Linked DNA regions of Schizosaccharomyces pombe. Changing the gene in region 3 together with the main gene of any one other region gives a genetic interaction. Each region holds a gene or a part of one and is shown on either strand. Other genes may lie near its edges.

The links.
Region 1: mutations in pas1 (region 3) and puc1 are lethal when combined (synthetic lethality), as found in Schizosaccharomyces pombe (one study listed by BioGRID).
Region 2: mutations in pas1 (region 3) and cig1 are lethal when combined (synthetic lethality), as found in Schizosaccharomyces pombe (one study listed by BioGRID).

Annotation. Positions count from the first base shown.
Region 1 is NC_003423.3:3,700,004-3,703,762, forward strand, and holds the start of puc1 (G1 cyclin Puc1), read right to left. Parts: upstream 1,687-3,759; 5' UTR 650-1,686; coding exon 1-649. Other genes in the region: U3 snoRNP protein Utp4, read right to left, coding at 3,739-3,759.
Region 2 is NC_003421.2:1,225,562-1,229,320, forward strand, and holds cig1 (G1/S-specific B-type cyclin Cig1), read left to right. Parts: upstream 1-1,664; 5' UTR 1,665-1,983; coding exon 1,984-3,231; 3' UTR 3,232-3,742; downstream 3,743-3,759. Other genes in the region: meiotic cohesin complex STAG protein Rec11, read right to left, coding at 1-91, 149-293, 338-687, 737-835, 921-1,033, 1,100-1,364. UniProt on the Schizosaccharomyces pombe protein: Required for efficient passage of the G1/S transition.
Region 3 is NC_003424.3:1,359,061-1,362,819, reverse strand, and holds the start of pas1 (cyclin Pas1), read right to left. Parts: upstream 1,688-3,759; 5' UTR 250-1,687; coding exon 1-249.

The DNA.
Region 1 (3,759 bases), on a different chromosome or scaffold from region 3:
GGCGTTCCATACGAATAAATAAATCCTCAGCATAGATGTTTTTACAAGCTAACTTCAGTTCTTGCAATAATGGAACACGGTCTTCTGTTTCATGAAATTTACTGGCAATCCAAAGACAAACACATGCTACTAACTGAATGTGTTTGCAGTATACCACTCTCCTCGAGACATATGAATCCATGAGGGAAATACTAAGCGGAAGAGTATCAATAGACAAGTCGAATCCATTATGTATTTCTACAATAAAATTAACGAGTGCAGGTCGCATTGACCATCTGAGTTCCGGTTGCTGATTAGAAAGATGGACATTCAGCAAAAAATTTTTCTCTCTAGTAATCAGATGATGGATAATGTCTTCCTGGTACTCACCTAAATACCCGTTCATTGATAAACCAGTGAGTAAAGAGGATTGAGTGTTATAAAGTAAGGCGCTAGATTCCGCTGACAATGTGCTAACAGAGTCGACAACAAATGCAGTCTCATTTTTAAGAGAGGGAGATTTGGAATTAACGCCTTTTGGTGAAACAGCTAAAGAGCAAGGGCCCACTGATAGAGAATATGAACAGGCAGCTAATATTTTAGGTTCTATACTTGAAGATGAAGTGGGAGTATGAGCAGTAAGTTGTTCCTCATTGGAAGAAACTAACATACTGGGTAGACAGGTATTTGAAAATAATGAGAAGGAAAGAGTAGAAAAGCTCTTCACAGTCGATGAAGTTGCAGCTCAAAGTTCAGTGAATTATTAAAAAAATGATACTGAAGAAAAAATAATTGGACATAAACAGGCTCAGATTGCTTGTTAAGAGGTAGTGGTCAAAGCGAATAGTGTTTAACTAACTGAAAGCGATACAACGGCGGAAAATTAAGGGACGATTTAAAAAGGAAGAAAAAAAAAGAGTGAGGTGACGATTAAAAAAAAGGGAAAAATTACTGGGTTTTCAAGGACGCTAAAGAGATATCAATAATGGAAGGGGTAATATAAAGGAATCGAAAGAGTAAATTGCAAAGGACTTGTAAAAAGCCAAGACGAAAGAACCCAATAATATATAGTGAAAAAAGGCTATATAAATATTAAAAGAATGCAAAATGAAGCGGAAGAAATTAGATGCGATAAATATATGTTTCCAAAAAGGTTCGGTGAATAGTTATTTAGTTTGATTAACGGATTTCAGAAGCAGACAATGCATTCATACTAATGAAAATATTACAAAGAAACACAAGGTTAATTCCAAAAAGAAAAAAAAAATAAAAAAAAATAAAAGGAAGAGAAAGATATTTAGTAAAATATGTCCATATGCAGCAAAAATAAGGAAATAAATTTCAATTAAACCAAACGATGTATTGCAAAAGAAAAACAAAATTTGGTTACGCTGTTCAAACTTTCGAATTCATTTACAGTGCAGTCAATTTAATTTACCGCAACCTTGATAGGACAGAAATTATAAAAGAACACCAAAAGCTGGAGAAAAGTAAGTGGTACAGACTCTTTTAAAGAAAACAATTCAGTTCCGTCAGCTACTATTTTATAAAAAATGATAAACGGATACGACTAAGAGATCGAATTTGTGAACGATTCGTACCAAGCAATAAATAAAGTTGTCGCTTGTATACCAAAAGCAATTATGGTGTGGTAAGAAAAGAGAATGTAACAAAAAACAAGGCGGAACTGGTAAAGAGATAAATTATGGAAGGTTATAAACGGTGGGCAATCGATATCTTTATAAGGATAAATCTTATAGTGTAGTGACAATATCGCGAATCGGTATCCTTACATTGTGAATGTACAATGTCCATTCTAACTCGTAATTTCTGCAACGTAACTAGCTACTGTTAGTAACAACAACCGGAATTTTCGGATTTGAATTAATTAAGCCTCAAGTGATCTCCATCTTGGTATGGCCGATTCACAAATTTACCATACCAACGATGTGTACTGAAAGCGTAAAGTACTAACACACAATTAATTCAATGGGTCAAGCACATCATGTAAGTGACGACGTAGCCCAAAACTATTCCATTCATAGCACGCCATCTATCAAAGAACTTGAACAAAGAAACTAGTACAAAATTTTGATTTTCAAAAGCGGTTAATTGATAAGTTACTTGCTGTAAATCATATTGGCCAAATCGTGAAATGTACGTACTGCTAACATTGCGCACGCAAGTAAGAAAAAGTGGGGACAAGAAGCAGAGGTAAATCAATTATTCAAGAATGTAAATATTGACCCGTTCGATCATCTACAGCTTTTTTTTTATGAAAATCACGTTATTAACAAAATGGCTGGTGCAATCCAGCTATAACTACAGCTAGATAGATTAACATTAATAATATCGATTTTCTTCACAATAGCATATACCGCAATCTTTATTTTACATAGCAGAAGGAAATAAGCAGCCCAATTACTGTGTGTAAATGTTTATCACTTAGTATATGGATTAAACAAATTGTAAATAATAGTCAAGACTTAAGTCAGTTAATTTCCGATGAAATAATTAATTTTTGAGGAGAATGTGGGGAATGAACATGAATAACTAGCATGGATAAATAGATTCGCAATCAGTGACATAACGATATTTATGAGCCGTCTAGTTTCACAGATAATTCCACCTGGTGGTGCGGATAAAAGTAGGATAGAAAATAACAGAACCAAAACGTTGAAAAACGCATTGCTTGGCTTAAAGGTCATAACATTATTCTATTCAATGGAAAAAAATGTTTGGTAGTTGAACGAGATTGCTTCTCAACGCAATGTTTTATTTTCACTACGAAATGTTCTCATGCTTCTAATCTATGACTTCTACTTTACATGCTGTTGATTCAGGTGGTGTTTTTGTACCAAAGTGGGGGGTCTAAGTCGTTAGTACTATTGTCCTTCTTCTGGTTAGTACTGACAGTTTGTATTACATTTTAAGTGGGATCGTAGTAACTAAATGGGGGTACATAAAACTGGTACTACTAAACAGATTTATCTAAGTTGTGAACAAATTTCAATAAACAAACGAATGTATAATCTCATCGGCAAGAAAATAATTTTTTACGTCAATCACTTATTTCACTTCTTTATTTTATTTTGAATATATCAAATGTAATCAAGTTTAGAAACGTAGACGGGTTCATGTATGAGCTTTCTTCGTTTCATTTGCATATATATCCTTTGTAAGATTCTGTTACTTTGAATATGTTTTCTTTATAAGTTGTAGATGGTAATTGCTACTCTTTAAATACAAGCTGTCTTCTACAATAATTTTAATTTTACCAGAGTATTTTTAATTATCCTCATGCGAGTAATTTTCTAATTATGTGGTGTAACAAAAATAGCGTTCGGTTAAATTTTAGTTCGCCGTGTTAAGTCTATTAATCAAAAAATTTGGGTTCGTAAAATTGTACGCCTATCTGCCTAGAATCAAGTGAAACCATATTACAGGCATAATGCTCCAATCGATAATGGGAATAAACAACTCAGACTTTGGAAATTCACAGCTACATTGCCATAATCATATTGTGGATGGGTGTGTCACCTTGAAATGTTTTATTGATAAACTAACTAGCAACTAATCTATGCTTTTTATCGGAAAAAATAAAAATAAAATAAACTCCTATAATAAAAGACCTTTTTGTACAAAATCATAATAATACCACCCTATTCCAGACATTTTTTTTACGTAAAATGACATATTAAAACCTCTTCGTTTTTTTTAGTACGAAGAAACTCCTCCATCTTCATACATAATACATATTTACGAGCCAAATTTGTGCTC
Region 2 (3,759 bases), on a different chromosome or scaffold from region 3:
GAAAATCAACCACAAAATCTTGATCTTTTTCAGGTTCATGAGAAGAAAGATAATCTATTATTTTTAAGGAGATTTTTCGGATTTGTGATTCCTATACGTTCAGTTAGTATTTAAATGATACAGCAGTAGCGATTGTTTATACACTTACTGCATCAGATAACCCCCAGCCAGAATGTCTAATCAAATTTCTGTTTATAAGATAGGTGGGAAGCAATTGGCAACAATCATATAGAGCAGTAACACACACTATACGAATGCTTGCACGTATATCATGAATCCTTGAGAATAGTACACTAGTAAAAAGGTTAGAGTCGTTAAGAAAAGTAGTATTGCCAACCTATCACAAATGTCGTGAATCATGTCAATGAACCTAGATGTTAAGTCTCTCAGTACCAGAATTTCCGCAGTTTGATTTGATTTTTCGGAAAGTTTGTTTACTATAAGGCATAAGCATCGCATGATATCACAGCAAATAGTTGTTGCAGTATGTCTAACAAGCATCCAAGGACTTGTCGTCATGGTAAAAATCCAAGCTTTTGTAGTTTCCATGAATGAGTCTCCGAGGAATGCGTCTTCCACGTAAACTTTACTGATGAATTCGACCAAAAAAAGCTGAAAACGAATACGCACCGTTTTAGCTTCTTTAGAGTTAGAAGTATAAAGATAATCAGTATAAGCGCAAGAAGACTAGCGATATGTATGGTAAGTAAATATTACAAAAAGATGATGCACACACCTTTTGAAAACTTGAACGATTGACCTGAGACAATGTTTCAGGAATTGAATCTACGTCCTGTACATCAAAGTTCGTAACGAAGGGTTGACAACCAGAGGCCTATGAATTAGTTTACGTTTCAAAGGAAGAGTAAACAAAACAGCAAAAGCTAGAAAACGTCGCGGATCATTCCTGCTAAACTTACAACTAATGCGAAATTTATAAAGGTCAGCATGAAGTCAGCGCTATTACTTTTATAGTCTTCAAAATAATGTTGAGAAAGTTGCTCGAGCGGCATATCTATATCCAACAGTTTGACTTTTCGTATGCTTGTTAGAATATATTATCGAAGACTTTTTTTCTCTTATAAGCAAGCAAACTTACGAAAAAATTCTTGTGGAAAGGCATAATCATGAGAATTTACGTGCATCTCTTCATTCGTCTCTATTTCATTATTTTCTTCATTCTCCGTCAAAGAAAATTCATCTTGTGTTCCCCATTTCCGCTTTTTTTCTGAGGGCGAGGCACAAATGCTGACATTCTGTAAACTTGGACCTTCATATTCAACATTTTCAAGCTCCACGCTTTCTAATTCAGTAAGGACTTCATTGAGATGACTGCTTGCATCTGATTCAAATTCGAATCTCATTGAAATCACTCAATTAATTGGTACGATGGTGGTTGGTTATGGCAAAGATTAATCTAACAGAAACGATGGGTTTGTTTACGTGACACGAGTCGCGTCAGTCAGTCATTAATTATTTTGCAGTTCACATACAACCATTGCAATCAAGTATATAATAATTTATTAAAGTTTTACTTTTGAAACATAAAGTAACTAATTTATGAATAAGAACGCGTTTTTACTCGGAATTTCGGGCTTTTCCCTGACCCCTTTTGAGAACCCACCAACTCCTTTTTCTCATTAGTAGTAGCTCGGTATTCCTTTGCAAAGTCCTACTCCAACTTTTGGTTAATACTCTTGTTCGTTGGTTTCATTTGAGATTTTTAGTTCTTGTACTGTTGTAGTACTAATCTTTCTGGTCAATCCAAAAGATTACTTTCCTCGAATCCTTCGTTCAATAGTATCTTCATATATTTGGGTGTAGAGTCATTTTTTCGAATTTTTAGAAGTCGAAAAGCATCTAAATTTTTAAGGATCTTTTCCAAAGAGAAGACTAGGGTTCCTACCTGAGTAAAAGGCAGTTTGAAAACCGACTTTCATCGCATGTCCAAAACTTTCTAAACAAGTGTGTGCTGGTTTACTAATGGACGTTTCGACTCAAACAAGACACGCAACATATTTTCAAGATGAGAATCAGCTACAAAAGGATCACATTTATGTGAAGAAGAAAAGTCACATCAAGTTAAATACGGGTGTTCGTGCACCTTTCAAGGCAGTAGATAACATCAATCAACAAGATGAACCAACATTGATTGAAGGGAATAATGAATCCTCCATCTCTTCGTCCACTGGCGACACTTTTGAAGAGGATTTTGCATACCAGGACAAAGTCGAGATAGAGGAACGGTCAATTCGCTCCACTCCTAAGTCTATTGGAGATGATGATTTGGAAAACCGTGAGGGCAGCTTTGACGCACCTGAAGGAATTCTTACACACGGGAAGCATAGACTACCAACAATTCCCGAGTGGACCAAGGAAGATTTAGCCGCCCTGTCTGAAGCTGCTGCTCGATTACAAGCTAACCCATCGCCTGAGGATATAGAAACTGATCCATCCATGGTACCAGACTATGATCCTGAGATATTTCACTACATGCAATCTTTGGAAAGGAAGCTGGCTCCACCTCCTAATTACATGTCAGTTCAGCAAGAGATTGACTGGGTTACAAGACATATGCTTGTTGATTGGATTGTGCAAGTTCAAATACATTTTCGTTTACTTCCTGAGACATTATTTTTGGCGGTAAACCTTATCGACCGGTTTCTTTCCATAAAAGTCGTATCTTTGCAAAAAGTCCAGTTGGTAGGTTTATCAGCTTTGCTGATTGCCTGTAAGTATGAAGAGATACACCCTCCAAGCATCTACAACTTTGCGCATGTTGTCCAAGGGATCTTCACCGTTGACGAAATCATTAGAGCCGAGCGCTATATGCTGATGCTTTTGGATTTTGACATTAGTTGGCCAGGGCCCATGTCGTTTTTGCGTCGTATAAGTCGAGCTGATTCTTACGATCACGACATTCGCATGCTCGCCAAATATCTTCAAGAAGTAACCTTGATGGATGAAATTTTTATAGGTGCCCATATTAGCTTCATTGCTGCTACTGCCTACTACTTGTCTATGCAGATGTTGGGTCATTTGGATTGGACTCCTTGCCATGTATATTATAGTGGGTACACGGCTCGTCAATTGAAACCGTGTGCCATAATCATTATGGAATGTTTGGTCGATGCCCCTAACCATCACAATGCCATTTACCGAAAGTACTCGGAGAATAGAATGAAGCGAGTTAGCGCCTTTGCTCACAACTGGGTACTAAGTGTGATTTGAGTTTGCTTTCAGAAGTTGTTAACAATGATATTCTGAGTTAGTTTGCTATTATTAAGCCTACGATATTTATTATTACGGATCATTGTCTTAATATTTCCTACAGCAATCACTCGAGGGCATTTTATATCTTACCTAAGGTAGTAGTTTTTCTCCACTCCGTTTGCTAAGTTTGTCGTTTAAACCACCCCTATTATCCCCCAGAGACTTGGAACTACTGTCTATTTTATAACTATCTTTCCGAATTCCCTCTTCCATCTTGTTTTCTATATCTTTTACTATACTTAAATAACGTTACGGGTATCTCTATTGTAATTATTTTTTGATACCCCTTAAACCATTTTTATTTTTTTGGATTAATACCTTTTTAATTTAATTTTGTCCTACCTTTACACAATCGTCTCATCCGACCTTTGGGCATGATCGACGGGTTAATTGGACTAATTGTTGCTACTGATCTTTATGTAGTTAGGCTTAAACTTTATAAATAACATAACTATTTTTACCTTTTCTCTTCATATTTGTTTCACG
Region 3 (3,759 bases):
CCCACATAACAGAGGAATGTAGTTAGTAGGCTTAGAAGAAGCAGCATCACGAAAACGGATGAAGTAATATAAAGCAAGAAGCAACGTAGTGTAATCGACACGACTTCTGCGAATCGTTTCATACAAAAACTGAGTAAGTGAAAGGGAGTGCGAATGTGATTGTTGATTTGTACTTTTAGCCAAGGGGTAGATAGAAAGAATCACGGTACTAAAGGACTCGAGCAAAGCTCGCATGTTAACTTTCGACATCGTGTAGAGAAATATCTAAGATGAAATTTTAAGCAGCTGTTGGAGAAAAATGAAAACTTTTAGCAAGCTTTTTCTCAAAGAGAAGAAAATACGAGTTTATGAAAGGGAAAAAAGCTAACAATGAAAGCTTTCGACGAAAATTTAGTAGAAAAGTAAAAATGGATGACAAAAATTGGAAGACGAACACAATGAGGAGAACGAGTAGATTGACTAAACAGTGCTCCTAACTGGAAAAAAACAGAAATCTCTAAAGGTATGCCATGTTGAAGACACGTACCCAAAATCAGTTAATATTATTATACAAGAAAAAGAAGCTTAGTAAGCCTAAAAAGTTGCAAAAATGAAGAGATAGATGTGTTGGCGAAAATAGTCATCCAAAGAAAGAGTGTAAGAAATAATAATGATTGCTTGAAATCGAATCTTCAAGCGCACAAAGTCGAATTTGAAGAAAGAAAATAAAGCAAAACCGAGATTTTGGGGACCAGGCAGATAAAAGGAAAACTTGAACTGTGTAAAAACCCAAAATAAGCTAGAAAGGAGAGATTGAAAAAATGAGAGGGAAACTACTTAACCAATCTCCTTAACGACGATAAAAGATGCAATCTCTAGAAGAATTTGTTGGCAGAAGAGAAAAACGAATGAAGCAAGGGATGGGATTCAACGATTGAAATATAAGCTAAGATGAATGCGGAAAATAAGCAAAGAAAACAGACCGACAGATAGATAAATAAATAATAAATAAATGTTTGAAATTACACGAAACCGTATGCGAAACCCAAAGTTAATCGACGAAACCAGCGACGGAGTTAGAAAACGTTAAAGCTACAGGGCGACAGCAGACGAATGAAACAAAGGAAAAGTAGATAAGCCTTTTCCCGAGAATTCAAAGAGGCGTGATATTGCAGTCAGCAGAGTAGTTGGAACAATGAAAAAAAGAATAGAAGAAAGAGAACACAAAGCACCTAAACCCAGACAAGCAAATAGAATAAAATAAAATAAAAAGAAAATGAAAAGTTATAATATATCGTGACAAAGAATTAAAGAAGAAGAAAAGAACCCTTCAGGTAGTAAAGGTCTAAGGTGAGAAAGATCCGTAGCGAATCAAATAGATTAGATTTATAATACAGCAGCACCGAATGGTAGGTTACGAGATTCTTCACAAAATGTTTAAAGGAAGGAAGAAAGAAACCAGCAGACTAATTATGTGTCAAGAGGAAGTAGGATTCGATGAACGATGAAAAAAAAAAGTAAAGAAGATGTTAATGGATGAATGATGATTCCCAAACAAAACAAGAAAAACACAATCCAAAACGAGGAAAATTGAGAATAGCACAAACACCAAACCAATTCTATCTAGGCTGAAGAAAGGAAGACGAATGTAACAAAAAAGAAAGGATGAACGTTATGTTTTGTATGGTTGCTTAGCAGAGGGACGACCGGCTCTTCTTAGGAGAGATGACTGATGTTATATATGCAAAGAATGGAAAAAAAAGGTGATTGTGGCAGATCTATGATTATATGAGATAAACATCAGTCGCGGCTTGTCAACCACATTTGTTACCGAGAGTGGCAGGTAACACTATCTGCAACAACGAGATCCTTTGCACATCAAACGTTAGTCCACCGTGATTTCACACCACTGCGTAAAGCAAACATCCATAATTTCAATGGGGTAAAACGCGTCGGTAAAGTTGGCGTCTTGGACTGCCGATTTTGTGAATGATAAGACGTGGAAGTTAAGTCAAGCCGGGACGTTGAAAGGTTTGGAAAGCTGCATCCAGAAAGGCCTCAACAATGGAAAAATTGGATCAGAGCAAGGTTTAGCAGTTGAAAATTGGGAGGGGGCGGAAGATTGGGATGGATAAATTCTGTAATGTCTAGGTATAGCGAAGGGGAAGGCAATGCGGAAAAGGATTTGAGGAAGGAGGCTCATAGGGATAGATGAATGATGTTTGGGGGGGGATATGAAGGACATGTGGTAGTTGGATCAATTTGCTTCCAATCTATTCTAGAGGTTTTCTTGCTTTGTTCCAAAAATATGAAAGTGGTGTCCATGATTCATGGCTCCGATAGATTCTGATTCCTCATAAGAAATTTTTTTTTCTTTGCGTTTCTTCGCTATGTTACCCAAGTTTTGGGCTGCTTTAAGCGACATTGGATTGGCTCAGCTCAGATGCCAAGCAAGTAATAGTAAGAGAGAGAGACATTCAAGGCGGATTCCACTATCCATCAGAGAAGGTGGGATAATGGGGTGGTATGAAGATGAAATGATTTCTTTAAGCGGAGTGGATGGATATTTTGAAAGAATTGCTAATTGTTTTACTTTGTGATGTGTAAAATTGCAATTTCTGTGATGGCATCGCTAACTCCATCGATATCGCTGATTCCATCAGCACTCGAAATGGCGAGCAAGCTTGCGCAACTTGCGAAGGCAAAGATGTAGGATGAAAGTAGCGATATTATTGATGAATACAGTTGTTGGGCAGGAAATATGATGGGCGATGCGATGAAAAGACGCGAATGGTTAAGAATTTGAAGAGTGAAAAAATAAAAGTAAAATAAAATTAATACATTAAATCAAAAGCAAAAAATAAAATTTATAAAATAAATCAAAAGTAAAAGTATCATTTTATAAATTAGTAATGAAACAAAACTTTGAATATGGAAAATCTCTCCATTAGTTTATTGAATAAACAAATATTTCGAATTTTTATTATTGTACTTTAAAATTTTTAAATTATTTTACCTTATAATTAATTTAATTTTTATAATTTACTTTTTTGCCCTTTAAATTTTTCTGTTTATTATTTATTATCATTCATGAATTTAGTATAATCTTTATTTTATTGCTATTATAATTTCATTAAATATATTTTGATTTCTTTTTTTCTTATTACGATTGAACACTTTTCCTCTTCTTATGGTTTATTTTGTTTTCTTTGAGTTTCCTCAACTACTTTCACCGTTGCTTTCTTTACTTTTTTTTTTCTTTCTTTAATTTATGATTATTAATTTATTATTTATTTTTTACCATTTATGTATCATATCCAAATTTTTTTTTTTTTTTATTTCTAATTTCCTATTATCCTTACTACATCCAAGCCATCCTCACTTCCCCTCGCCTCTCTTCTCCAACCGTAGCATAAACAATCCTTTCTTTCACAAAACTTTTTCACCCCCCTCACCTCTTTCTCTTTGTCCCAGCATTGCTTACCCTATCCTGCCTACCATTAAATCCCACATCCCACATCCCAGCTGTTATTGTACTTCCCAATTCTTTCTGTATTTCTGTACTGCGCTGGTTCAACGAAAACGCAAACATAAAATTTCCTTTCACCCACTCGTCCCTTGTTATCGTTGTTTTTTATTTTATCATTTTTATTTACTCTTATTTTGATTATTTTTTACAAGTTATCAGCGAGCGTGTTTATTTATCCATCCCTCTTGTTATCAGTCCAAGGAAAACTGTTTTACCGACCAGCGCATAAGCACCAAATCTGTTTTTCTTGT